4 linked regions of the Stegostoma tigrinum genome follow. The protein of the gene in region 3 interacts with the protein of the main gene of each other region in a pairwise test. Links are inferred from orthologs where the notes say so. Each region holds a gene or a part of one and is shown on either strand. Other genes may lie near its edges.

What was found.
Region 1: the proteins of pex19 (region 3) and pex11b interact in binary tests that used the Homo sapiens proteins (3 or more experiments, as listed by UniProt). The link is inferred for Stegostoma tigrinum from reciprocal best matches to the Homo sapiens genes PEX19 and PEX11B.
Region 2: the proteins of pex19 (region 3) and pex10 interact in a two-hybrid assay, tested with the Homo sapiens proteins (4 studies listed by BioGRID and IntAct, with this or other methods). The link is inferred for Stegostoma tigrinum from reciprocal best matches to the Homo sapiens genes PEX19 and PEX10.
Region 4: the proteins of pex19 (region 3) and pex16 interact in binary tests that used the Homo sapiens proteins (3 or more experiments, as listed by UniProt). The link is inferred for Stegostoma tigrinum from reciprocal best matches to the Homo sapiens genes PEX19 and PEX16.

What each region holds. Positions count from the first base shown.
Region 1 is NC_081400.1:3,328,415-3,336,032, forward strand, and holds the start of pex11b (peroxisomal membrane protein 11B), read right to left. Parts: upstream 3,019-7,618; 5' UTR 2,955-3,018; coding exon 2,881-2,954; intron 1-2,880. UniProt on the Homo sapiens protein: Involved in peroxisomal proliferation. May regulate peroxisome division by recruiting the dynamin-related GTPase DNM1L to the peroxisomal membrane. Promotes membrane protrusion and elongation on the peroxisomal surface.
Region 2 is NC_081381.1:23,731,585-23,739,165, reverse strand, and holds the start of pex10 (peroxisome biogenesis factor 10), read left to right. Parts: upstream 1-4,573; 5' UTR 4,574-4,724; intron 4,725-7,581.
Region 3 is NC_081399.1:11,295,636-11,302,661, forward strand, and holds the start of pex19 (peroxisomal biogenesis factor 19), read left to right. Parts: upstream 1-4,024; 5' UTR 4,025-4,071; coding exon 4,072-4,138; intron 4,139-6,454; coding exon 6,455-6,543; intron 6,544-7,026. UniProt on the Homo sapiens protein: Necessary for early peroxisomal biogenesis. Acts both as a cytosolic chaperone and as an import receptor for peroxisomal membrane proteins (PMPs).
Region 4 is NC_081370.1:12,839,666-12,846,671, reverse strand, and holds the start of pex16 (peroxisomal biogenesis factor 16), read left to right. Parts: upstream 1-3,989; 5' UTR 3,990-4,015; coding exon 4,016-4,130; intron 4,131-7,006. UniProt on the Homo sapiens protein: Required for peroxisome membrane biogenesis. May play a role in early stages of peroxisome assembly. Can recruit other peroxisomal proteins, such as PEX3 and PMP34, to de novo peroxisomes derived from the endoplasmic reticulum (ER).

The sequences.
Region 1 (7,618 bases), on a different chromosome or scaffold from region 3:
TTTGTCCATGCCAACTAAATTAATCTAGTCCCATTTGCCGGCATATGGCCCACATCCCTCTAAACTTTTCCTATTCATGTATCCTCCCAGATGCCTTTTAAATGTTGCAATTGTACCAACCTCCACCACTTCCTCTAGTAGCTTATTCCATACACACACCACCCCCTGCATGAAGTTGTCCCTTAGGTCCCTTTTAAATTTTTCCTCTCTCACCTTAAACCTATGCCCCTGTAGTTTTGGACTTCCCTACTCCTGGGAAAAAGGCCATGGTTATTCACCCTATCCACACCCATAATGATGTTCTAACCCCTTACCCTCAGCCTCCAGAACAACAACCCCAGCCTAATCAGCCTCTCTCCATAGCCTAAAACCTCCAATCCCGGCAACATCTTTCCTATGGGATAGAGACCAGAACTAAATGCAGTATTCCAAAAGTGGCCTAAAATCAATGTCCTGTATAGCCAAAAGAGAAGTGATCTTATCGAAACATATATGATTCCTTGACAGAATAAATTGCTGAGGAAATGAGAATTTCCCATGGGATAGCCTAGGAGCAGCAGGCACATTTTCAGAATAAAGGGGTGGCAATTTAAGACGGCGATGAGAAGGAATTTCTGAGCGGGTTGAGTGCATGGAATGCCTTGCCTTAGAGAGGTGTGGAGGCACAGTCCTTGTGAATATTTAGGCAGAGATGGATACATCCTCGAGAATGAGGGGAGTCGACAGTTATGGGGAAAGTAGACGTGAGGGATGTCGGACCAGCCATGCAGCTTTCTCTCAGGGCTGAATGGCCGACTCCTGTTCCTGAAATAAGAACAGAAATTGACAGAGGAACTCTGCAGGTCTGGCAGCACCTATGGAAAGCAGAATTATTGCTTCTAGTCCAGTCACCCTTAAGGATGGACAGAAACTGGGAAAAGACAATACTCAGGCTGATGAAGGGTTGGGAAGAGGGTGAATGAGTGGATACAGAGTCCAGAGAGAAAGAAAATTAGGCCTCTCCATAGGTTGTTAATAAGCCAGAGGAGGAGTAAAGCTGATGACTGAGATAATAAGTTGGTGAATATAGGTCAGCAGTGCAGAAATCAACTCCTGTCAAAACAGCGCCTGGGCTGTGGGGGATGGGGAAGGTCCTGGAACGAGCTGCTTAGGCCCTAAAACGATTAAGCTTGATATGCAGTCCTGAAAGATCTTCAAGCAACAGATCAGATGCTGCTCCTTCAGCTTGCACTAAGCCTCCCCAGCAACGTCGACACAGGAGACGTCTTCAGAGATAGAAGAAGGGTCTAGGCCCGAAATGTCAGCTTTCCTGCTCCTATGATGCTGCTTGGCCTGGTGTATTCTTCCAGCTCTACACCTCGTTATCACAGAAATATTGCCGTGGGAAACACAGTGGCTACTGAAAGCCAACTTATAGGCAAACAGTGCCTCAGGGTTTACTTGTAGAGTCATAAACTCATACAACACAGAAACAGATCCTTCAGCCCAAGCCGATCATTACACCAAACTAAACTAGACCCCACCTGGCTCTGCTTGGCCCACATCCTCCAAACATTTCTTATTCATGTACCTATCTAAATGACTTTTAAATGTTGTAACAATGCCTGCATTCACCATAAACCATTGTGTCAAAATTTTCCCCCTTGTCTTTTTAAACTCTTTCTCTTCTCACCTTAAAAATATGCCCACAGTTCTGAAATCCCCTATCCTAACGAAAAGACACCTGTCGTCATTCACCTTACCTGTCCCCCCAATGAGTTCACAAATCTATATAAATAAGGTAACTTCTCAACCTCCTATGCTCTAGTCAAAAAAGAAGCCTAAGCCTATCCAGCCTACTTTATAACAACACCCCCCACACAGCTGTTCCTGGCAACGTCTTGGTAAATCCTTTCTGGGCCCTCTCCAGCTTACTAATGCTGTTCACATAACAGGGTGACCAGAGCTAGACACAGTACTCTAGAAAAGGCCTCACCAACATCCTGTAGAATCTCGACATAATGTCCCAACTCCTAAACTCAAAGATCTGAGCAACAAAGGCAAGCATGCTAAATACCTTCTTAACCATCCTATCTGTACCTTCTGTTCCCTTTTCCTACGGATATAGCTACAAGCAGGGGGATGAGGGCAGGTTTTTGAGGGAACAATACAGCATAGAGGTATACAGCACAGACACAGACTCTTTGGTCCAACTCATCCAAGCCGACCAGATATCTTATATGAGTCTCACTCCATTTGCCAGTATTTGGCCCATATCCCTCTAAACCCTTCCTATTCACATACCCATCCAGGTGCCTTTGAAATGTTGTAATCGTACCAGCCTCCACCACTTCCACTGGCAGCTCATTCCATACATGCACCACCCTCTGCATGAAAAAGTTTCCCCTTAGATCCCTTTTACATCTTTCCCCTCTCACCGGTGACCTATGCCCTCTCATTCTGGACTCCCCTACCCTGGGGAAAAGACCTTGGTTGTTCACTCTATCAGCACCCCTTATGATTTTTAAAAACCTTTATAAGGGCACCCCTCAGCCTCTGATGCTCCAGAGAAAATAGGCCGTGCCTATTCAGCCTCTCTCTACAGATCAAACCCTGGCAACATCCGTGCAAATCTTTTTTGAACCCTTTCTAGTTTCACAACATCCTTCCTATAGGAGGGAAACCAGAATTGTGCGCAATAGTCAGCAGAGTTTCAAGGCTGAGAAAGATAGGTCTTCGATCAGGGTGCAGGGGCAAAGGGGAAAGGGCAGTAATGTGGACATGAGGAGTGTCCAGCTATAATCCTACTGATTGGTGGAGCAGACTCAAGGAGGCAAAGGGCCAACTCTTGCTCCTCTGCCTTATGGTCTTCTTCACAACTGGACTCTTGAGACTCCAAACCTTAACTCGACGGTGCTGCCAGGCTTGCTGAGCTTCCCCAGCAACCTCTGTTTCTGTCTCAGACCGTACAGCATCCGCAAGTCTTAGTTCTGTGGAAGTCTGGTGGACAGAGCTGCAAATGGGCAAGTTGTTGTTGTAGTAACTGTGCGCACTCACGCAAACTCGACAGGGGATCGGGGCGTGCGCGGGAGGATTGAACGACAGTTGCTGGTGCCAATAGACAGCGCGGAGGTCGAAGGGTCCAACCAATCGGAGCGGCCAAGGGCGTGGCTACCGCGGCCGCCATCACAGTTGGTTGTGAAGGATGAAGAGGCGGCGGCGGCGAAAAACCTTAGTTGCAACCGGTATCTAGTCGAGTGGAGCTCTGCCTCTATTTACCTGAAGATACGCTCCCTTCCCTGGCTCTGCGCTGTGAAGCGTACCCAAGAATCCATAATGCTCACAAAAAGATAGATAGAGATCTACTTTTATGTTTTGTTTCGGGGCCGCCTCAGCTGCGCGGGGTATAAAATATGGCCGCCAGTGGTGGCGGCTCTCAGTCACGTGCCATTGAATCGGCCAATCAGGCGCTACCTCTCCCCCTGACGTCAAGGGGCCACGCCCTCTTACCAGTATCACGTGACTTCTCACCGAAGTGCCATTCAGCCCATCAAGTCTGAGGAGCGCTTACGTTCCACCACGTGGCTTATCCGTTTGATCATAAGGAACAGAAGTTGGTTGCTCAGCCCCTTCAATGGGCTTGTGGCTTATTCCACTTTGCTGCCCTCTTCCCCCTTGAAGGAGCCAGTGGTGAAAACAAAAATTGCTGGAAATCACAACAGGTCAGGTAGCATCCGTGGAGAGGGAGCAAGCTAACGTTTCGAGTCTAGATGACTCTTCACCAGAGCTGGCTCAGTGGTGTACACACTTGATTATTTAAACACAGATTTGATTAGGGTTCTGGGCACAGTGGTTAGCACTTCTGCCTCGCAGTGCCGGGGGCCTGGGTTCTGTTCCACCCTCAGGCAACTGTCTGTGTGGAGTTTGCACATTCTCCCTGTGTCTGCGTGGGTTTTCTCCGGGTGCTCCGGTTTCCTCCCACAGTCCAAAGATGTGCATGCTAGGTGGCTTCGCTGTGCTCAATTGCCCGTAGAGTTCAGGAATGTATAGATTAGTTGGGTTGTAGGGGAATGGCTTTGGATGGGTGTTCTGAGGGTTGGTGTGGACTTGTTGGGCCAAAGGGCCTGTTTTCACATTGTAGGAATTCTGTGATCTGTGACCTAATTTTGAATCCCGCTGTGGCAAATGGTAGAGATTGAATTCAATGAAAATCTGTAATTAGGAGTCCCATGGTGATCATGAAGGGATTGACTGAATGTGCTTTAGGGAAGGAAACAGGTCTTTGCCTATTCTCGGCAACATGTGACTCCAAAACCACAGCAATGTGATTGACTCTTAACTGCCCTCTGGGCAATTAGGGATGGAGAATAATTACTGGCCTTGCCAGCAATGCCTGCATCCCACAAATGAAATTTAAAAACCCTTGATTTCCCCTACTGACCAAGAATGCATCTATCTCAGCCTTAAACATATAGAAGAACGCTGGTCCCTCCCCAAGATCTCTGTGGCAAGGAGTTCCAGAAACACTTAACCACCTGAGAAAAGAAATTCCTCCTCTTCTTAGTTTTAATTTGGTACAACTTTATTCTGAGACTATGCTGTCTGGTCCTAGACTCTCCCATGAGACCAAACATTCAGCGTTTACCTTATCAAATCCTTCAGGAATCCTGTATGTTTCAATGAGATTTGATTTGATTTGGTTTGGTTTATTATTGTCACATACTGAGATACAGTGAAAAACATTGTTTTGTGTGCTAAGGTCAGGATAATAGAACAGAATGCGGAGTATAGTGTTATAGTTGCAGAGAAGGATCAACTCTAATATTAGAGAGGTCCATTATGAAAACAGCAGGAAAGAAGCTGTTCTTGAACGTACTGGTATGTGTTATCAAACTTTTGTACCTTCTATTCAATGGAAGAGAATATGACTGGGGTGAGAGGGTCTTTGATTATGTTGGATGTTTCCACGAGGTAATGGGAAGTATAGATGGAATCAATGGGCTAGGCACACCTTTGGACTGTGGGAGGAAACCGGAGCACCCGGAGAAAACCCACGCAGACACGGGGAGAATGTGCAAACTCCACACAGACAGTTGCCCGAGGGTGGAACAGAACCCAGGCCCCCGGCACTGCGAGGCAGAAGTGCTAACCACTGTGCCCAGAACCCTAATCAAATCTGTGTTTAAATAATCAAGTGTGTACACCACTGAGCCAGCTCTGGTGAAGAGTCTTCTAGACTCGAAACGTTAGCTTGCTCCCTCTCCACGGATGCTACCTGACCTGCTGTGATTTCCAGCAATTTTTGTTTTCACCACTGGCTCCTTCAAGGGGGAAGAGGGCAGCAAAGTGGAATAAGCCACAAGCCCATTGTTGGAATTATGGTGTTGAAGGCAGAGCTTACTGACAATTAATAGAAGCCTGATGTAAGTGTCTTTGTAATCCAGATGTTCCAAAGATGGGTGGAGGGCCAGAGAGATGGCATTTGCCTTGGACCTGTAGTGACAGCAGGCGAATTGTAGTGGATCTGGGCAATCTGGGAGGCTAGAGTTGATGTGTGTCATGACTCACCTCTCAAAGCACTTGATAACGATGGATGTCAGAAACGCTGGGTAGTAATCATTAAGGCACGTTGCCTGATTTTCATTCGGCCCTGGTGGGAGTAGGAGAGCTTAAAGATGTCTGCAAATACTCCTGCCAGGATTTAAGTGCACGGCCGGGGCCTCCATCTGGGCGAGATACTTTCTGTGGACGGCAGTGACTGTGAATACGGGTGCCCCAAGGCTGTCTGGGCAGGAGCCATCATTTCATGGACCTACTGCTCAAACCGAGTCTATAATGCAAAGAACTCATTGGGTAGGGATCTGTTGTTGTCAGCGATCCTATTCGGCTTTGCTTTGTAGCCCGTTATGTTAGGTAAGCATTGCTGTAGTCGATGTGTGTGTGTCGTTATTCTGGCACTCAAGTCCAGTATTGTCTCTTGGCATCTCTGATGGTTTTGTGACGGTCATACCCTGATTTTCTGTGTAGGCCAGGGTCACTCAGCTTGAATGCCTCAGATCTGGACTTCAGTGAGGGCTGGATCTTCCGGTTCATCCACGGTTTCTGTTTGGGGAACGCTCGGATTGACTTCTTTGGCACTCAGTGCTTTACACACTTCCTGATGAAATCTGTGATGGTCAGTGGCATTTCCATTTAGTTTGGCTGCTGACTTCCTGAATGTGTAGCCAGTCCACTGACACCTAGCGGTCACGCAGGAGCTCATCTGTTACCTCAGACCAGCACTATCTGACTTTGTGGCAGTGTATATTTCATCGAGTGTGCTCTTTGTGTCTGCACGAAGTGGGATGTAAAATGCTGTCAGGGCAATAAGGCAGGCAGTTGGGGCAGTACTTCACCGTTAGATATTCGAGGGCCGTGGAGTAGTAACTCATCAGGGTCGTTGCGTCTGAACACCGAGAGGGTGTTGATCAGGAGGCGGACCTTTTGCCTTACCCAAGGACCCTGCGAATCAGATTGAGAAATCCTCAGGTTGTAAGAGTGAAGCAAGAGTGGGGCATGTCCCTTTAAAACGGAGCACGCGGCAGACTGTCAATTCCCTTTGGTAGGTGAGTCCGGCTTTAAGTTCATTCGGTTTGTTTTCAGTGGTGTAGACATTAGCCAGGAGTGTGTCAGGTAGGGGCCGCTTGAAGCCGAATAAAAACCTGCGGATGCTGAAAATCAGAAACGAAAACTGCACTGTTTCTGTGGGCCAGTGCATCTCCCATGTTTCCTGGGTAAGGAGCTGCTTCTGGTCGAGTTGGTGTGGATTGTTTGTTGTTTGGAATCTGATTTGGTCCTGGGCACTGGTGGCTGCTTCAGGCACTCGGGGAGGGGAGGGGGGTGCATCTTGTTCTGGGTTTGGTTCGGCCTTGGTGTTGGGTCTCCATGAGGTTGGGTCGGGTGTCGAGTCCACGTTGGTCCACTCGACAGAGTCACCAATCAACGTCCAGGTCGAATTGTCAAGAAATCGGTAAGTGGATGGTCACTTTGTTGTAATGGTTGCGGTTCCAGAATCTGCATTCGGGCCCCGTTGGTGCTTCATGACATCCTGGTCTTCATCAGGTCAGATTCAGTCGGGCCATTGGTTGTTTTCGGAGGTCAAAAGGTTGCCAGACCTGTAAGTAGATTTAAGAGAACGTAGAACGTTACAGTGCAGTACAGGCCCTTCGGCCCTCGATGTTGCGAGTCTTGGCGAGTCTACTACTGTTGCAGACATTGCTAGTAATCTGGCAGAATTACAGTGGAGATTTGAAAGAGTAGAACAATTCTAAAAGATGCGAGGAGATGATCTGCTGAGGTCAGCTTGCAAAGAGTTGCCATGCTCCAGTGCCATCCCCTCTATTTCTTCTAAACTCCGATGAGCAGAGTTCCCAACCAGTTTAGCCTTTGCTCATAAGACAATCCCTCCATATTGGGGATCATTATACTGAACCTTCTCTGAACTGAGTCCAATGAAATAATATCTTTTCTTATATAAAGGGACCAAAACTGCTCATAGTACTCCAAGATATGGTCTCATCAGTAGTTTGTCCAGTTGCAGTAAGATTTCCCTACTCTTATACTCCAACTCCCTTGAAATAAGGGCCAACATTCCTTTCGC
Region 2 (7,581 bases), on a different chromosome or scaffold from region 3:
AAACAGTGCCATCCACAGTTAGATTGTTAATTATGTGAGTCTGCCTCAGTTTTGAAATTTTCATCCACATGTTAATATCCTCCGTGTCCTTGGCCCGATCTCTGTTACTGTGTCTACGTAGGAACATAAGAATATGGGACCAGGAACAGGCCATTCAGCCCTTCAAACCTGTTCCACTATTCAGTGGTCTTCAGCTGCTACTGCCAGACCCCGTTATTACTTTCACAGGGAGTTGGCACGGTATTGGTTACTGTAACATCCAGATGCCCTGCCAATTTGATAGCCGTAGGACATTAGATACACCTGGACTGCGAATTGATGATTTAGTTAACAGTCCTTGCTGTGCCCTTTCATTGTTTTTCATGCATGCATCATTCAAAATGTCTGCTTGGTTTTCCCCTTTTTAGGAAATTAGTCCTGACTGCAGCTGCTGAGAGTATCTTAAACTGCTGCCAGACTCTGCATTTTCCATTAATTCTGAGTGTTCCATGTTCAATAGGCTGACCCCATTCTCACTTAACATCCAATCACATGTGCACTCTATTCCAAAAGAGCACCAGGAATCAACACCCTTCCCAAGTATCCTCAAGAATATTTGACCCTCAATAGCATCACCAATACAGGTTGACTAGCTGCTGTCACACTTGCAGGATCTTGCTGTGTGGTTCCGCATTCCCTGCGTTAGTTCACCATCTACTTGATTGTCTGGACAAACTAAGGGACAGCCTGAAATCATAAAAAGATATGCAAGTCAGCCTTCATTTCTTTACAGCAGGGGTTACTGGATAGTGACCAGGAGTAGGAACGCCAGGCAATTTTTTTTTAACCCAGGGAATGCAACCCAGGGACAAGAACAAAGTTGCTGAAAAAGCTCAGCACGTCTGGCAGCATCTGTGAAGGAAAAAAAACAGAGTAAGCATTTTACATCCGGTGACACTTCCTCAGAACTGGAACACAGGGACTGAGATCAGTAAATTGGGATTAAATTGGGAATACATGGAAAGGGAGGATTTGCTGAAGACCTGAAGCAAGTAGTTTAGATGTATATCCCCACACTTCACCTTTGGTAAGGAAAACTAGACAGTTCCTGTGGTTTTTCCAATGAATATACATAATGACTCACTGCCATCCGTGGATCTGGTTAACACTTTTTAAGCTCAGAGTACCTGCTCTAACACATTCTGTCAAACACACCCTACTGCTGAAATCTGACAGTCAGAGAAATTGAACTGTTAGTGTGTTTTCTTTCAGTGTGATGCAATCCATAGTGTGTGAGTTGTTTCTTGCACTGGCTGTGGTTGCAAGCTAGAATTTATGGCAATGATGTCATTTTGATGGGACGCTAAACTGATGGCCACATCTTTACTCTCATGTGGATTAAAACAGCACCATTTTATAACAGCATCATCTTCAATATTTATCCCTCAATCACATTCATTATGAGTAGGTTATCAGATTATAATCTGATTATAATCACGCCTCTGTTTCTCTGAGCTTGGATGCTGCATTTCCTCAATGACAGCAATGATGGGTCTGGGTGGGATGTGCTGAGAGTCGGTGTGGACCTTTTGGGCCAAAGGGTCTGTAGGGAGTCCCATACTGTAGGGAGTCTAAATCCAAGTGCTTGTCCTCTCCTTTGTACAGCCCGTTGTATCTCAGCAGGTGTTGCTATTATACCCAACTTTGATGTATCTGGCAGTCACGTGCTTTGTTTGACACTATAATTGACTCCCGGTTAAGAAATTTCTGACGATACTCCTTCCTATGGTCTCTGTCATTTTTTGAGAATATTCCTGTATTGAACTCAGAAGAGGAAGGGACTGTTTGTTTTTGATCCCTGCATGGACTTGGTGGCTTAGAGGAAGCTACACTTCCAGTAGAGGAAGAATAATAAGGTGTGTGGCATGGCCAACACTCCTGCAGGGTTCTATGATTCTATATAGCTAGCATTTTATAACTGTAATCATGAACTTTTAGTCAAACTCTTAGATATATTTGCAAAAATCTGGGAAGAGGTTGTTCTTCTGAAATGCCATCACTGTTTCACATTTTAAGAATCATAAATTAGTCTGTGGGAAGTTTAGAGGTACATTCCTTGTGACCATTGTGGAGAAGATTGTCACACGAGTCCTGCAGAATGACCTCTTACCTCACAGCAAAGACATTCTTCCAGAGATGGGCTGTGGTTTCTGACCATCTAGTGGAACCATAGGTCTGATCTTTGTCATTGAGTAAATTCAAGAAAAGTGTCTAAAATGAAGCAAACAGTGCTACACGGCTATAAATGATCTATCAAAGGTCTTTGACTCCACCAGCTGCCAAGCCCCTATGGAAAGGCTTCTGAAGACATGAATGTTCAGAGAAGAATTATTACTCTTCGGTGATTTTTGCATGAAAGTACAACAGTAACTGTCCTTTGCATTGGATTGATGCTGAAGTTTTTTTCGTTTCCAGTCAGACATCAAATACTGCTATGCTAATGTGTTAATTCTAATCACTATCTCCCCCAGATAGAGCTGGATGAACACAGCAGGCCAAGCAGCACCAGAGGAGCAGGAAGGCTGACGGTTCGGGCCTAGACCCTTCTTCAGAAAACCCATTCCCTCCAGCCTGGTGATGGAAATCATTTCTGACCAGTGTTTGCTGGGATCATAGCTGACTTCTTGAATTAATGAGAAACTTTTCAACAACAACTGGCTGTGTGTTAAGTCTAAGGTGACCCTCCAGCACATCCATGGCCTACAACATGCCAATGAGTACACAATGTGGCCTACTCTGTAAAGAGCATTCACGCCACCCTCATCCTCTTCAACTCTGTCACAATATGATTGGTCTCTTACTCAACCTGAGCAAGATTAAAATCTTTCATCATCACTCTCCTGCACAAGAACCTATATCTCCAACCTCTGTTCTGAAAGGGAGATTTTAGAAATCATTGAACACTACATATCTGAGTACCTGCCTTTGGTAGAACATTGCTGCCATAATTAAACTTCAGCACCGTATCAACTGTGCCAGTGTAGCTTTCCAGATATTGTGCATCAGGTCTTCAGCAAAACCCATCCCTATACAAAGACAAAGGCTTTAGCCAACAATACTGTTGTCACAATCACTGTTGCCAAATGGCAGTGGGACAAAGGCATCCCATCAAAGACACTACCAGGTGCTGGAGAATTTTCCAACTGTTGAGTCTCTGCAAGATTCTCAGAGTCAAGTGAGAAGTCAGGCATTCCTCACTGAAGCCAATTCTTTTCTGATGTAGGGTCTAGGCCCGAAACATCAGCTTTTGTGCTCCTAAGATGCTGCTTGGCCTGCTGTGTTCATCCAGCCCCACACTTTGTTATCTCCATCAGCATTGTCATCTGGACACTCCTCCATGTGTCAAATAATCCATCACAATGCAGATTCTCTTCTCACAATTTAAAGATGAGACTCAATCTCAAGGACAAAGAAGATATTCAAAGAACACAGCAGCACAGTGGTTCAGTGGTTAGCAGTGCTGTCTCAGAGCACCAGGGACTCAGGTTCAATTCCAACCTCAGGCGACTGTGTGGAGTTTACACGTTCTGTGTCTGTGTGGGTTTCTGCTGAGTGCTCCGATTTCCTCCCACTGTTTAAGATTGTGCAGGTTAGGTGGATTGGCCATGTTAAATTACCCATATTGTCCAGAGATGTGCAGGCTGGGATTAGGCTAGGGTAGGAGGGTGAGTCTGGGTGGGAAGCTCTTTGGAGAGTTGGTGTTGACTTGTTGGGCTGAATGGCCTGTTTCCACACTGTGTAGGGATTCTATGGATACTCTGAAGACCAGGTTGGAATAGGACAAATTGACATTGATGAATGAGAGGTTCTTTCCATAAAAGTCTGCACCTTGTGCCAGCTCCTGAAAAAAAACTGCAACCCAAATTCTGACAGCATTAACCACCTGCAGTGACCCAACAAAACAGGTGTGAAATAGACCGAGCCCTGGTTTGAGAACCCCACCTTCTCCAGGGCTGCTTGTGGTGAAAGAGCTGTGGCTCAGTGAATGGCCTGCTGAGATCCAAAAAGCCAGACAGCTGACAGGTGCCATCTTTGTCTAAAGAAGCTGATCATTGACCAGTTCTGTGAGCTGATCAATGGTTGCATTTCTTATTGATCGTTGAACTGATTTGTGAGCTGATCAATGACTGGAATTTTTATTGATTATTGACTGGTTTTCTCAGGTTGTTTATTGATCCGGTTTATTACTGATATTCCGGGACTGATTATTAACTGAGTTTGTGAGCTGATCATTGTCTGGGCTCCTAATTAATTACTCGCAGTGTTTCTTATTGGTTTGAAAACCGAAAGAGCTGCGGATGCTGTAAATCAGAATCAAAAACAGAAAAGCTCAGCAGGTCTGGTAACATCCGTGGGGAGATATTAGAGTTTACACCTCCAGTGGAGTAACCCTTCCTCAGAAAGACTTGAGCTTTTCCAGTGATTACTGTTACAATTTCTGATGTTTCCTCTCGGGGTGACTATTGGTCGGGATTGTCCTCCGGGCACCAGGTGGCGGTGTTTGTGGATCCCCGCAATGAGCACAGGCCTCGGCGCAGGCTCACAGCGGCTTGGCCGGTCCCTGTCTCCCCAGGGACCCAAGGCCGGGAATAACCCGCCGCTCGGGTTGATCTCAGCGCAGTTTTAAGCCGGATCATTCCTTCCGTTGAGGCCATTTGTCCCAACGCCCCCGAGTCAGCCCCACAGTAGGTGCCCCCAAACTCAGTCCCTCGAAAGATAAAGGGGCGGGGGGGATGAGGGGAGGAGAGAGGGTACGGGGTGGGAGGAAGGGGGGGTAGGGGTGGGGGGGGAGAGAACGGGGGGGGGTAGGGGTGGGGGGGGAGAGAACGGGGGGGGGTAGGGGTGGGGGGGGAGAGAACGGGGGGGGGTAGGGGTGGGGGGGGAGAGAACGGGGGGGGGTAGGGGTGGGGGGGGAGAGAACGGGGGGGGGTAGGGGTGGGGGGGGAGAGAACGGGGGGGGAGAGAACGGGGGGGGGTAGGGGTGGGGGGGGAGAGAACGGGGGGGGTAGGGGTGGGGGGGGAGAGAACGGGGGGGGTAGGGGTGGGGGGGGAGAGAACGGGGGGGGGGTAGGGGTGGGGGGGGAGAGAACGGGGGGGGGGTAGGGGTGGGGGGGGAGAGAACGGGGGGGGGTAGGGGGGGGAGAGAACGGGGGGGGGTAGGGGGGGGAGAGAACGGGGGGGGGGTAGGGGGGGGAGAGAACGGGGGGGGGGGTAGGGGTGGGGGGGGGGTAGGGGGGGGGAGAGAACGGGGGGGGGGTAGGGGGGGGAGAGAACGGGGGGGGGTAGGGGTGGGGGGGGGGTAGGGGGGGGAGAGAACGGGGGGGGGGTAGGGGTGGGGGGGGGGGAGAGAACGGGGGGGTGGTAGGGGTGGGGGGGGGAGAGAACGGGGGGGTGGTAGGGGTGGGGGGGGGGAGAGAACGGGGGGGTGGTAGGGGTGGGGGGGGGGGTGGTAGGGGTGGGGGGGGGAGAGAACGGGGGGGTGGTAGGGGTGGGGGGGGAGAGAACGGGGGGGGTGGTAGGGGTGGGGGGGGAGAGAACGGGGGGGGTAGGGGTGGGGGGGGGAGAGAACGGGGGGGTGGTAGGGGTGGGGGGGGGAGAGAACGGGGGGGGTGGTAGGGGTGGGGGGGGAGAGAACGGGGGGGGTAGGGGTGGGGGGGGGAGAGAATGGGGGGGGGAGAGAGAACGGGGGGGTAGGGGTGGGGGGGGGAGAGAATGGGGGGGGGAGAGAACGGGGGGGAGGGGGAGAGAGAACGGGGGGGGAGGGGGGGAGAGAACGGGGGGGGAGGGGGGGAGAGAACGGGGGGGGGAGGGGGGGAGAGAACGGGGGGGGGAGAACGGGGGGGGGGGAGAACGGGGGGGGGGGGGGAGAGAACGGGGGGGGAAGGGGGGGGGAGAACGGGGGGGGAAGGGGGGGGGAGAACGGGGGGGGGAGGGGAACGGGGGGGTAGGGGTGGGGGGGGGAGAGAACGGGGGGGGTAGGGGTGGGGGGGGAGAGAACGGGGGGGGTAGGGGTGGGGGGGGAGAGAACGGGGGGGTAGGGGTGGGGGGGGAGAGAACGGGGGGGGTAGGGGTGGGGGGGGGGTAGGGGTGGGGGGGGAGAGAACGGGGGGGGTAGGGGTGGGGGGGGAGAGAACGGGGGGGGGTAGGGGTGGGGGGGGAGAGAACGGGGGGGTAGGGGTGGGGGGTGGGGGGGGAGAGAACGGGGGGGGTAGGGGTGGGGGGTGGGGGGGGAGAGAACGGGGGGGGTAGGGGTGGGGGGGGAGAGAACGGGGGGGGTAGGGGTGGGGGGGGAGAGAACGGGGGGGTGAGAACGGGGGGGGTAGGGGTGGGGGGGGAGAACGGGGGGGGAGAACGGGGGGGGTAGGGGTGGGGGGGGGAGAACGGGGGGGGTAGGGGTGGGGGGGGAGAACGGGGGGGTAGGGGTGGGGGGGGGAGAGAACGGGGGGTAGGGGTGGGGGGGTAGGGGGAGAGAACGGGGGGGGTAGGGGTGGGGGGGGGAGATAACTGGGGGGAGAGAACGGGGGGGGGGAGAGAACGGGGGGGGGGGAGAGAACGGGGGGGGAGAGAACGGGGGGGGGAGAGAACGGGGGGGTAGGGGTGGGGGGGGTAGGGGGAGAGAATGGGGGGGTAGGGGGAGAGAATGGGGGGGTAGGGGTGGGGGGGTAGGGGGAGAGAATGGGGGGGTAGGGGTGGGGGGGGTAGGGGGAGAGAATGGGGGGGTAGGGGGAGAGAACGGGGGGGTAGGGGTGGGGGGGGAGATAACTGGGGGGAGAGAATGGGGGGGGAGAGAATGGGGGGGGAGAGAACGGGGGGGTAGGGGTGGGGGGGGAGATAACTGGGGGGAGAGAATGGGGGGGGGAGAGAACGGGGGGGGAGAGAACGGGGGGGAGAGAATGGGGGGGTAGGGGTGGGGGGGGTAGGGGGAGAGAACGGGGGGGTAGGGGTGGGGGGGGAGATAACTGGGGGGAGAGAATGGGGGGGGAGAGAACGGGGGGGTAGGGGTGGGGGGGCAGAGAACGGGGGGGCAGGGGTTGGGGGGGGAGAGAACGGGTGGGCAGGGGTTGGGGGGGGAGAGAACGGGGGGGCAGGGGTGGGGGGGGAGAGAACGGGGGGCAGGGGTGGGGGGGAGAGAACGGGGGGGTAGGGGTAGGGGGGGAGAGAACGGGGGGGAGAGAATGGGGGGGGAGAGAACGGGGGGGGAGAGAACGGGGGGGTAGGGGTAGGGGTGGGGGGGGGAGAGAACGGGGGGGTAGGGGTAGGGGTGGGGGGGTAGGGGTAGGGGTGGGGGGGGGGAGAGAACGGGGGGGTAGGGGTAGGGGTGGGGGGGTAGGGGTAGGGGTGGGGGGGGAGAGAACGGGGGGGGTAGGGGTGGGGGGGGGAGAGAACGGGGGGTAGGGGGGGAGGGGTGGGGGGGGAGAGAACGGGGGGGGGTAGGGGGGGGTAGGGGTGTGGGGGGAGAGAACGGGGGGGTAGGGGTGGGGGGGAGAGAAAGGGGGGGTAGGGGTGGGGGGGAAGAGAAAGGGGGGGTAGGGGTGGGGGGGG
Region 3 (7,026 bases):
GTAGTTCAAGAGCTTGGGAAACTATTTGCCTAATGTAGTCTTCACAAGTAGAACAATAGCATGTCTGTAGACTCAAGGTTACCAAACTGAGATGGAATCTGCAGCTGCAGTCATTTATGCAAAAGAGAACATTTCACACGATCCCTCTCGAATTATTTTGTCAATCTGTTAGAATAGTAAGAGTAGGTTTTAATTAAGATCCTTCCGATAATCATAGATAGAGGCTCTGAAGTAGTTACAGATGCACTGATGAAAAAAAAACTAAAAGCTTTTAGAGATCTAGACGCAGTCTGACTTAGTAAAAGCAGCCCCCATCACCTTACAGGGAGATAAGAGAGTCTGGGAAACACCATCCATAAGACCATAAGACATAGGAGTGGAAGTAAGGCCATTCGGCCCATCAAGCCCACTCCACCATTTAAATCATGGATAATGGGCATTTCAACTCCACTTCCCTGCACTCTCCCTGTAGCCCTTGATTCCTTGTGAGATCAAGAATTTATCAATCTCCGCCTTGAAGGCATTTAACGTCCCGGCCTCCACTGCACTCTGCGGCAATGAATTCCACAGGCCCACCACTCTCTGGCTGAAGAAATATCTCCTTATTTCCGTTTTAAATTTACCCCCTCTAATTTTAAGGCTGTGCCCACGGGTCCTAGTCTCCCCGCCTAACGGAAACAACTTCCCAGCGTCCACCCCTTCTAAGCCAGACATTATCTTGCACCACAGGTGGGTCATATACCAGTCTTTCAGTGACGTGATTGGGTCAGTTGGAAAGATGTTCACATGGGTGAATGAGGCAGCACTTCCTTCAGGTTATGGACCATCAACAGTTCCACGGTGTACACCACAGTAGGTAAATTGCTGAGGCTAACTGCATAACCTGCTGTACCTGAGAGCCGATTACAAAGGGATAACCTAGTACCACTGACCAATAGTAACCAAACCGGGATGGGGGCAGGGTTTGAGCTTAAACAGTGTAATTTATGACATTGTGAATTTTTTATGGGCCTTGTGGCACTGGAATAAGAAGCAATACTGAAAATAAAGCCGCAATAAAGATTACCTGGCAGTTACACACAAGTCAGATCCTCATTGGAAAATACAAGATGTAACAGAGCACTTCACCAAACAAAGGAAAACATGCATTTTTATAAGAGATAATGGGAACTACAGATGCTGGAGAATCCGAGATAACAAAGTGTACAGCTGGATGAACACAACAGGCCAAGCAGCGTCTTCGGAGCAGGAAAACTGACGTTTCAGGCCTAGACCCCTCAGGGTCTAGGCCTGAAATGTCAGTTTTCCTGCTCCGAAGACGCTGCTTGACCTGTTGTGTTCATCAAGCTCTACACCTCTATACATTTTTATACATTTGTTTCATCCTGTCTTCGCAATTGCAAACATATCATACTATTAATTAATGACGTGCGTTTCCAAATAAGCTAATTGTATGACTGTACAGCCAGAGATGGATTTCGGGTCAACTCCTCATCCTCCACAGTTTCAGAATGTCTCCCAGGATCTTGTGACAATGCTGTCACTTCTAAAAGTTACCTTGGCCCTTTTATTTGGAAGAGTCATTGTGAGGCAGAGATGCTGAACTGGATACTGTAGGTAAACAGCTTGGAAGGCCTTGTGTTTTGTTTTACAAGTTGGAAGAATGGAGGCTGAATGGGTTTGGCCAGTTGTCACTGATCCAGATTTTCCTGCTTTTGCTATTATTAGAAGCCTTCAGGGTCTAATAAGAGCTTTAGTGAATGTTTTCTGACTGCTGTTCTCTCTGAATTTTCTCTTTTTTTTAGCCTCCTGGATTGGAGAACTGCATGTGAAAATCTGTGCCTAAATTTGCCTTTTTGCCATGGGGTGTGTTAATTGGGTGTTACTAAATGGGAGCAGTGAATGAGTATCGGCTACTGTACCTGTTATTCAGTTAAGCTTTCCAAAGGTTAATTTACTCTAAATTCCTCTTTCTTTTGTTTGTATTTTAACCGTAGTGTTTAAATCAATTGTGTTTTGCTTAATATCGAGTAATTTGACCAGGCGCGTCCCATCTCGGCACTTCACCTTTACTCTTTAATTCAGAAAATGTTAGGGTGTAGGATATTTTAAAATATTTTGAGAGAGTCTGCTCGGGTCCATAACACTGTCTTATTTCCCTTCTTCAGGCTTTTCACTGTATTCAGGTCTATTCTCTCCCAATCGTTTGCCAACTACAGTCTGGTAACTGCCAAATAATTGGATACTTACCTATCATGCCAGGACCTTTCAAATTCCTTACAATCATCATTACGGGAAGAACCAAAGAGTTATAGTTTCAATTTGAACAAAGTTATGTGATTACCGCTAATGTTAGAATTCTTTAGCTAATGAGCAGTTTCTATCTTAGCATGTTTAAGTGAAATCCCCCCACCCCACTCTCTGTCTTCAAACAGGGCTGTCTAACAAAGTGTTCATTTAACCCACATTCCAATCTCTGCTCATTTCTGTAACCGATGATTCATTTCTCGCTGTCATAATATGGGAGTTGCTTTTACTGTCAGAGACTGGTTTGCTCTCATGATTTACCTCCTCTCCAGCTCTCTGTGATTTTTTTTACTATGTAGGTGAATCTATAACTACGTTGGAATCAATATCTATGATTATTCGAAGGATCCCGAATAAAACCTACTATTAGTTTTGTAACAGGTTGATGAAATAATTAAAGAGAGATTCACAAATTAATAGTAGTGTGAAATATTCTTATCTATGTCTTATGTGTAAACAACTGTAGCTGCATATTCTATAGCAATTCCACAGAGCTGCTGTTGTTCTAACTTCTGCAGCTACATTAAGCGAATATTTTCCTGAGCTCTCTAACTACTGTCAGTCATATTTTGCTGCATTAGCCCTGGGCAGCCATTGGCCATTTTGTGCTGCTCAGTCATGTGCATCCCTGACAATGCCAAGATCTCTCACTTCATCCACCCATTTCAGCATAATCCCATTTATCATGTCAATGCATTACTCCACACTTATCAGAGTTGAATTCCATCTGCCACATTTCTGCCCACTTCACTGACCTATCTAAATCATTTTGGAACTTAGAGCTAATTCTACACTGTCCTCTGAGCTGCTACTTTTTGTGTCAAGTGCACATGCATGTATTCTGCTTGAATTGATGTTCTTGTGATATATCCCGATTAGTAATATACAGGATTCTTACGGGGTTTGACAGGGTAAATGCTGAGCGAGGATGTTTCCCCTGTTGGGAATCTCGGGCCAGAGGGCACAGTCTCAGAATAAAGGGTCACCAATTTAAGACGGAGAGGAGGAGGGATTTCCTGTCTCAGAGGGTTGTGTGTCTTTGGAACTCCATGCCATAGAAAGGTGTGTGTGGGGTGGGGCGGGGGGAGAGTTCTTGTGTATATTTCAGGTTGAGGTAGATATATTCTTGATCAGTCCAGGAATGGACGATTACAGTGAAAGGTCAGGAAAGTGGACGTGAAGAATGTTGGAACAGCCATCATCCTATTGAATGGTGGAGCAGGCTGAAGGGGCTGAATGGTCTACTCCTGTTTCTTATTCTAATGGATGAAAATCTTTGATAGTTTCTAAGGCTTATTCTTAGGGCTATTTTATTTACTTTATGCTCATTGCTGAAGGGAGGATGCAAAACACAACATTGTACAGAGAGTACTCTTTTAGCCGATCATATATTTATCTCAATGATGGAAATGCACAAAAGAATCCTGTAGGTGAATCTAGAACTACTTTGGAATCTATGTCGATGACCTACATATTGATTCTATTCATGAAGTTTAAGCACTAAATAAATTTTAACATAAACACGATGAAGAAATGCACAAAACATGACTCTCTGAATGGTAAAGGGCCCACTTCCGGGTGAGTGGCGCTTGGTGCGTGTGCCTTTAAGAGGCAACCGGATGTCCGGTATTGACACTCTTCAACGCTCTTCCGGGACAAGATGGCGGCGCCCGCTGGGCGGTGTGGGACCCGGCGGAAGTGAAGGCCGCGGCTGGAACGGAAGCGGTGCCGGCGCGGTGACGTCAGTGGCTGGTGACGGGGAAGATGGCGGCGGCAGGAGGAGGAGGTGGAGGTGGAGAGGAGGATGAGGAGCTCCAGGAGTTGTTGGAAAGTGAGAGGATGATGCTGACACTGAGGAGGAGACTCTGCAAACATTGAATAAGTCTCAACCCGCCGCAACGGTCAGAGGGTAGAGGTCAAAGGCTAGAATGGCCGAGAGGGTTTTGGTTAATGGCTGGTAGTCAGTGAGCCCTGACCAATAGGGATTGGTTCATTGGGACCATAGTCAGTGAGCCCTGACCAATAGGGATTGGTTCGTTGGGACCTTAGTCTGTAGGCGCTGACCAATAGGGATTGGTTCATTGGGACCTTAGTCCGTAGGCGCTGACCAGTAGAGGTTTGGTTCATTGGGATCTTAGTCCATGAGCCCTGACCAATAGGGATTGGTTAATTGGGACCTTAGTCCGTAGGCGCTGATCAATAGGGATTGGTTCATTCGCACCTTAGTCCGTGAGCGCTGAACAATAGGGATTGGTTAATTGGGACCTTAGTCCGTAGGCGCTGATCAATAGGGATTGGTTCATTGGGACCTGAGTCCGTGAGCCCTGACCAATAGGGATTGTTTCATTGGGACCTTAGTCCGTGAGCACTGACCATTAGAGATTGGTTCATTGGGACCGTAGTCCGTGAGCACTAACCATTAGAGATTGGTTCATTGGGATCTTAGTCAGTGAGCACTGACCAATAGGGATTGGTTCACTGGGAACTTTGTCAGTGAGCCCTGACCAATAGGGATTGTTTCATTGGGACCTTTAGTCCGTGAGCCCTGACCAATAGAGATTTGTTCATTGGGATCTTCGTCCAGCGCTGACCAATCGGGATTGGTTCATTGGGATCTTAGTCAGTGAGCACTGACCAATAGGGATTGGCTCATTAGGACCTTAGTCCGTGAGCCCTGACCAATAGAGATTGGTTCATTGGGATCTTAGTCCGTGAGCGCTGACCAGTAGGGATTGGTTCATTGGGACCTTTGTCCGTGAGCACTGACCAATAGGGATTGGTTCATTGGGATCTTAGTCCGTGAGCGCTGACCAATAGGGATTGGTTCATTCGCACCTTAGTCCGTGAGCGCTGAACAATAGGGATTGGTTAATTGGGACCTTAGTCCGTAGGCACTGATCAATAGGGATTGGTTCATTGGGATCTGATTCCAAGAGCACTGACCAATAGGGATGAGTTCATTGGGACCTTAGTCCGTGATCGCTGACTATTACGGATTGGTTCAATGGGATCTTAGTCTGTGAGAATTGACCAATAGGGATTGGTTCATTGGCAAGTTGGTCAGTCAGATTGGTCAGTGAGGTTTGGCCAAGGGCTCTTGGCTGCTTGGTGCTGATCAGTGAGAAATGATCACTGAGTGTTTGTGTAGTAGCGTGTCGCTTATTGCAGATTACTCTGTGTGGATTGGTTCACTGGCTACTTGGTCAATGTGGTTTTCGCCGGTTAGAATTGGTCAGTAGGGATTAGTCCAATGTGGTCCCAGTCAGTGACATTTGTCCACTGGGGCTTTGGTCAGTGGAGTCTTGGTCAATCGGAGTAGCCAGTGGAGTGTTGTTCAATAAGCATTGGTAGCTGGCAAGTTGCTCAATGTGATTGGTTATTGTTGGGTTTGTTGTTGAGGATTGGCCAATGAAAATTGGCCACTTGGTGTTTGCTAGAGGATTGGTCAATGGGATTGTTGAATGTAGTGTTCATCAATGAGGATTGGCTCACTGTGTATTGGTGAATAAGATGAGTTGATAGGGTCTTGGTCAAGGGAAATGGCCTGTAGGTGTTAGTCAGTGGGCTGTTGTTCAGTGAGGATTGGTCAGTGGGCCGTGTGGAACAGCCATTGGGGTGTTGGTCGGTGAGGAGTGGCCAATGGGTTAGTCGGTGGGGGCTCGGTTTGATGGGATCGATGGGAGTCTAGCTGGGTAAGATAAGATAAAGAGCTTTGGTTGCTCGAAACCTGAAATGAAAGCAGAAATAACTGCAGAAACTCAAAGAGGAGAAAAGCAGAGTTCAGAACATTTTGCGAAATGTTTGTCTTCGCAGATGCTTCCAGACCTGCTGAGTCTCTCCATTGAGATGTGTTTTAATTAGTTAGGTTTGATGCTTTGAGATTTTGTCAATGGAAGAATGGTCATTTCGAGGATAGGTCAGCAATGTTTGATTATACATGGAGACGGCAGATACAGCTAGGAGGTGAGAGGCACTGTTTGGTGGCTGGAATGTGTGACAGTGCAGGTAGGAGTAATATCGGGCTCGGAGTAGAAGAGAATGCGGTTACGAGTGGGAGTGTGGACAGAGAACAAGGCGAGGCAGGGGTAAGATACCATTGGTAATGCTGCTGTTCCTGTTATCTCTAACGCTGTATATCTTCTGTAAGGTGCCCTTGATGATTTTGACAAAACGAAACCTACTCCACATCCCCAAGCAAAAGTGGAAGCTGAGAAACCAGATGGAAAAGGCTCCAAAGTGAGTGCCGCATTGATCTTAACACAAAGTGCAGATACTCCGAATCTAACCCTGTGCTGTCCCTGTCCCGGGAGTGTTTGATAGGGGACAGTGTAGAGGCATCTTCAGAATGTATCTAACCCTGTGCTGTCCCTGTCCCTGGGAGAGTTTGATGGGGAGACAGTGTAGAGGAAGCTTTACTCTGTATCTAACCCCGTGCTGTCTGTGTACCTAGGAGTGTTTGACGGGGGGGACGGTGTAGAGCGAGCTGTCCGTGTCCTTGGGAGTGTTTGACGAAGTGGGGGGCGGGGGGGGGCGTGGGGACAGTGTAGAGGGAGCTGTTGCTGTCCCTGGGAGTGTTTGATGCGGGGGCGACGGTGTAGAGGGAGCTGTCCCTGTCCCTGGGAGTGTTTGACGGGGGCGGGGGGAAATCGTGTAGAGGGAGCTGTCCGTGTCCCTTGGAGTGTCTGACGGAGGAGGCGGGGGACAGTGTAGAGGAAGCTG
Region 4 (7,006 bases), on a different chromosome or scaffold from region 3:
CCACAAAGAGGCATGACCAATTCTCACTGGTCTCAATACACAAGGACAAAGAAGGACACAAATTCAACTGGGACAACACATCCATAATAGCACGAGCTGAACAGAGACATACCAGGGAATTCCTGGAAGCCTGGTATTCCAAGCAGAACTCCATCAACAAACACATTGAACTGGCCCCAATATACAAACTACTGAAAAACAGAACCTGAAGTAAAGCCAACCATTCCAGCAAACCGAGGCATATAAATAACAAGAGGGACAGAATACCAACACTTTACCGGAGGCACACTTACGATGTTACCTAGCAAAACGTCTGCAACCAAACACACCAGCTCGACAGGCAAGTCTACAACCTGACTCCAATGGTTCCCAACCAGGTTTGTTGAATAACCAAAGCCAGAGACCAAGTTCATTGCTTAAACAAAAGAGGTAACAGTTTATTATTAATATAGTAGCTTTAGCTGAGCAAAGTTGAACAAGATAATTTAAATATGTCCATGATTTAAACTCAATCTTCTTTGATTGTTAGCCCCAACACATATAGACAGACAGACACAGTTTAGGGATAAATTAAAAGGAAAATTAAAGAGATGTAACTGTCCAGTTCATTTAAGCAGTTTCAATGATACATAGCATCGCAGGTACTTGGGATTGTATCTTGCTTGATTTCTGATGACATCAGTCAATGTAAATAGCCTCTAGTAGTTTTAAGAAATATTCACTTAATTCTTATAACTTTCAATGAGTTGGTAATGGGTGGACAACTAGAAAGCAACCAAATCTCCATCCTGTAAATTGGCTTGAAGGTAAGAGAAAGAGGGAGGTGGTGGAGGGTTGTTTTTCTGTCTGGCTGTCTGTGACCAGCAGTGTGCTGCAAGGAGCAGCGTTGGGTTCACTGCTTTTCATCATTTATATCAACAATTTGGATGTGAATATAGGAGGAATGGTTAGTAAGTTTGCAGATGGCACTGTGGTGTAGTGGACAGTGAAGGAGATTATCTCAGAGTAGAGCAGGACCTGATCAGATGGATCAAGGAGTGGCGGATGGAGTTTAATTTAGATAAATGTGAAGTTTTGCATATTGGTTAGGGCAGGACTTAGACACTTAATTGTAAGGTCCTGGACAGTGTTGCTGAACAAAGAGACCTTGGGGTGCAGGTTCATAGCTTGTTGAAAGTGGAGTCTCAGGTCGATAGGGTAGTGAAAAAGCATTTAGTACAGTTGCCTTTATTGGTCAGTGCATTGAGTGTAGGAGTTGGAAGGTCACGTTGCAGCTGTACAGGACATTGGTTAGGCCACTTTTGGAATAATGCCTTCAGTTCTGGTCTCCCTGCTCTAGGAAAGATGGTATTAAACTTGAAAGGGTTCAGAAAAGATTTGGATGTTGCCAGGTTTGGACAGTTTGAGCTATAGGGAGGGGCTGAATAGGCTGGGGCTAATTTCCCTAGAGAGTCGGAGGCTGAGGGGTGACCTTATAGAGGTTTATAAAATCATGAGGGGTATGGATAGGATGAATAGCAAAAGTCTTTTCCAAGGGTAGGTGAGTTCAAAATTAGAGGGCATAGGTTAAAGATAAGCGGGGAAAGATTTAAAAGGCAACGTTTTCATGTGGAGGGTATGGATTGAGCTACCAAGGAAATGGTGGAGGCTGGTACAATTACAACTTTTAAAAGGTATCTGGATGGGTACATGAATAGGAAGGGTTTAGTGGGATTTGGGCCAAAAATGCTGGCAAATGGGACTAGAGTAATTTGGGATGTCTGGTCAGCATGAATGAATTGAAGTGAACAGTCTATGTCCGTGCTGTGTAACTCAATTACTCCACAAGTTGCACAGATTCAAATCCTCTGACAAAAAAACAGTTCAAACTTTGTTTGCAGAAGATACGCAATTGACTTTAATTGTTCTATTCCCAAACTGCTCATGATTTCCTGGAAAACGTTGACATAATCCCCGAACCCTGATCAGACTATATATCAACTGGTGGCCTCTAACTAGTAAACTGTGTTATTATTTCCACTGCTACCCTTGTTGTAATTGTCCTCAAAGGAATAGTCTCTGGCTTTCCTTACACTATACCTTGCTGGAGTCAACTCCGATCGTCACTTACAAGCATAAGACTACTCTTCAATAAGCTAGAAACACACCTGTGTGTTATTCCCCAACCACCAAACCCCCACTGCAAACTCCAGTCTTTCTCAGGGTATAAAGCAAATGCTGTTTATGGGATTTTCAACTCCTATGTTCTGAGCTGCAACAAAGTATTCATGTTGACAGGCTTCTTCCCAGCACCTCACAGCTTCCTCCAAAAACAGAGCCAATAACCTTCCCACTTTCTCAGCTCCCCAGGATGTCTTATGGACCTTGATTATGATAGTCAACTCGTCTCAACGTCTTCCCTGCAGAACAGCTAGAATTCTGCACTTAAAACATGGAGTCTGCTCTTAGTTCTGTTCTTCTTAAATGTCCCAGGAACTATCTAGAATGACCTACTAAAAGCCTTGCAAAAAGCACTGTGTTTCTCTATCGCTGGACAGAATTGAATTTTACCTTCTAACTACTGTTGGATCAGTATTCCACATATGTTACATTCTCTCAGAATGTAGGAAGTGGATTTCACCAGAGGTTCCATGCCAAATCACAAACAGTTCCCTTCCCCCTCCCCCATTTCTGAATGCGGGACCTTACCCAAATCATCAAATTTCCTGCTCCTCTGATGCTACCTGGCCTGCTGTGTTCCTCCAGCTCCACACTGTGTCATCTCTGACTCCAGCATCGACTGTTCTTACTATCTCTGACTGAGTTAATTCGGGATCACATTGGATAACTGGATCATTAATGGGTACCTCTTGATCATCATGGAGCACACATTGCTCCTTTACAAATTCTTAATGGATCGTTAGAGCACTGACGTAGGTTCACACACAGGATCAGTGGAGTCATACACTGGACCATTGGGAATCGCATACTGGATCGCCGAGGCCATACACTGGGTCACGGTGGCTCAGTGGTTAGCACTGCAGTTGCATAGCACCAGGGACCCGGGTTCGATTCCAGCCTCGGGTAACTGTCTGTGTGGAGTTTGCACATTCTCCCTGTATCTGCGTGGGTTTCCTCCAGGTGCTCCAGTTTCCTCCCACAGTCCAAAGACGTGTGGGCTAGGTGGTTCGGCCATGCTAAATTGTCCGTAGTGTTCAGAGGTGTGTGTGTTATAGGGGGATGGGGATGGGGTTGGGTCTGGGTCTGGGTGGGATGCTCCAAGGGGTGGTGTGGACTTGTTGGGCCGAAGGGCCTGTTTCCACACTGTAGGGAATCTAATCATATATTGGATTGCAAGAGGTCACACACTGGAGCATGGGTGGACATGCTGGTACACAGGGGGCTACACACACACTTACTGGGCCATTGGTGGAGAGTGGTGTCACACACTGGATGACTTGGGGAAGATGGCGGGGGGCGGGGGGAGCTGTTGCACATTGGATCACAGACTGGACCATGGCAGGGTTGAGCAATCGCACTCTAGTCGTGGAGGTGGCGGTCAGACACTGAATCGCTGGGGTTGTCACAATGGATGTGGGGGGGGGGCATCACACTGGATCACTCTGAGGGATTCACTGGGGAGGGTACACTGGATCACTGTGAGGGGGGCATTGGGGAGGGTCACACTGGAGGGAAGTGCCTGACACTGAGTCACAGACTGGACCATGGCGGGGGGGTGGTGGTCAGACACTGGAACCATGGCGGGGGGTGGGGGCGGTTAGTGGTCAGACACTGGAACCATTGCGGGGTTCGTGATCAGACACTGGATGTCTCACACTGGGTCGCATCTGAATTCAGCGCCAATTTTCAGATCATCGATGCCCCGCCTCCTTGCTCTGGTCCTGACCAATAGGGTACTGGTGTGCGGGGTGGCAGCGAATCAGCCAATCAGTGTGGAGCGGTGCCGGTATGCCCCGGATTTGAAGCCAGTATTCCCTGGAAGTGGTTCCGCGCGCGATCGGGGGATAGTGCTGTCATGGTGGATGTGTTGAGGCGTTTGTTGTTCCGGTACCGGGAGTACGTTATTAGGAATCCGGGGGCAGCCGCTCAGCTGGAGGGCTCGGTGCGGAGCGTGTCCTACATCATTGCCGGTCAGAAATACCCTTCATATACCTCCCCATCAATACCTGTCCTGAGAGCTCGGTGAGGAGCGGGTCACATATATCCTCCATGTAACCAGGAGTAACTCCCCTCTCCCATAAACACAGCTCTGAATGCCCTTCATATACGTCCCACAGCCAACTATCAGTCGTTTCATATACCACCTTCCTCCGTCGAATACCCCTCATATCACCAATACTCCTTTGTCTACCCCAGTATAAAATCTTCTGCATACGCCTCCCTCCTGCATATACTCACTGAACACGTCCCTCATACAATTCTGAGGAAGGGTCATCCAACCCGAAGCGTTAACTCTGATTTTTGTTCTTCGCAAAAGACCTGCTGAGCCTTTCCCGCAACTTCAGTTATCGACCCTGATGTACAGCATCGGCATTTAGAACATAGAACATTACAGCACAGTACAGGCCCTTCGGCCCTCAATGTTGTGCCGACCTGTCATTACCGATTTTAAACCCATCTAGATTAGATTAGATTCCCTACAGTGCCGAATGAATGAATGCATGATAGTAAATAGAACCACAGACAATCAAAACTGTTGGGAACTCAGACTTTTATTGAACAAACATAAGATGCCTTTTTCTAACTTTAAAATTCTAACCTTGAAAGTAACAAGACTAATACCTTCTGAATTATGCAAGATCACTCCAATCTCATTAAAATAGCCATTAACAGTCAAAAATAACCAGTAACATTTAGCACATGTTTAAACCATCTCTGATTTCCTGCAAAACAGTTTTTGTACAAGTGTTAAAATGTTAATGTATGCTTGAATTCTGTATGAAATGGCTGCTTTTGAGCTATTTCGGGGAATTCTATTTCATAGAACAATACAGCACAGTACAGGCCCTTCGGCCCTCTGTTGTGCCGACCAGTCATACCGATCTCAAGCCCATCTAACCTACACTATTCCATGTACGTCCATGTGCTTGTCCAATGACGACTTAAATGTACCTAAAGTTGGCGAATTTACTACCGTTGCAGGCAAAGCGTTCCATTCCCGTACTATTCTGAGTAAAGAAACTACCTCTGACATCTGTCCTATATCTTTCACTCCTCAATTTTAAAGCTATGCCCCCTCGTGCTCGCCGTCACCATCCTAGGAAAAAGGCTCTCCCTATCCACCCTATCTAACCCTCTGATTATTTTATATGTTTCAATTAAGTCACCTCCCAACCTCTTTCTCCCTAATGAAAACAGCCTGAAGTCCCTCAGCCTTTCCTCATCAGACCTTCCCTCCATACCAGGCAACATACCAGGCATCTCCTCTGCACCCTTTCCAAAGCTTCCACATCCTTCTTATAATGCGGTGACCAGAACTGTACACAATACTCCAAGTGCGGCCGCACCAGAGTTTTGTACAGCTGCAGCATAACCTCTTGGTTCCGGAACTCGATCCCTCTATTAATAAAAGCTAAAACACTGTATGCCTTCTTAACAGCCCTGTCAACCTGGGTGGCAACTTTCAAGGATCTGTGTACGTGGACACCGAGATCTCTCTGCTCATCTACACTACCAAGAATCTTTGCCTTCCGGTTACTCCTACCAAAGTGCATCACCTCACACTTGTCCGCATTAAACTCCATTTGCCACCTCTCAGCCCAGCTCTGCAGCTTATCTATGTCTCTCTGCAACCCACAGCATCCTTCGTCACTATCCACAACTCCACCGACCTTAGTGTCGTCTGCAAATTTACTAACCCATCCTTCTATGCCCCCATCCAGGTCATTTATAAAAATGACAAACAGCAGTGGACCCAACACCGACCCTTGCTGTACACCACTGGTAACTGGTCTCCAGGATGAACATTTCCCATCAACTACCACCCTCTGTCTTCTTTCAGCAAGCCAATTTCCAATCCAAACTGCTATATCTCCCACAATCTCATTCCTCCTCATTTTGTACAATAGCCTATTGTGGGGAACCTTATCGAACGCCTTGCTGAAATCCATATACACCACCTCAACCGGTTTACTCTCATCTACCTGTTTGGTCACCTTCTCAAAGAACTGAATAAGGTTTATGAGGCACGACCTTCCTTTCACAAAACCGTGCTGACTATCCCTAATCAATTTATTCTTTTCTAGATGATTATAAATCCTATTCCTTATAACGTTTTCCAACACTTTACCAACAACTGAGGTAAGGCTCACTGGTCTATAATTACCAGGGTTGTCTATACTCCCTTTCTACTTGATGTGCAGTCATTTCCCCCGTATCCATGAGAACTGTTCTTCCTAAGCCCGCCCCAATAATGAAACCTGTGAGCCCTTTTTTTAAATGGAGTGTGGGTGTTGCTGGCTAGACCAGCATTTATTGCCCATCCCTAATTGCCCCAGGGGACAGTTGAGTGTCAACCAAACTGCTGTGGGCCTGGAGTCACATGTCGGCCACACCAGGAATGGGTGGCAGTTCCATCCCTAAAGAATGTTAGTGAACAAGATGGGTTTTTGCACCAATTGTCAATGGACTCTTAATTTCACATTTTTTTTCAATCAAGTTTAAATTCCACCATCTGCTATGGCAGGCTTCGAACGCAGATCCACAGAACATTACCTGGGTCCCTGGATTAACAATCCAGTGATAATATTACGAGGCCATTGCCTCAGTCTCAAAGCAAAGTTTGTTTAAAAATTTTTGACTCTTGCTGTTGCTTATTTTATTGTGTAGGTGAATTTGTGATTTTGTGGATATAGAGGATTTGCTGTATCCCCTTCAATGTCTTCCTATACCTTTTTGGTTGCTTGTTAGCTCTGTGCGGAGTTTGTCATCAGGAGCTAGATGTACCCTTCGTATACACCCCCATACATTCCGCACCACACGATATCCACTCTGCCCCTTGATCTGG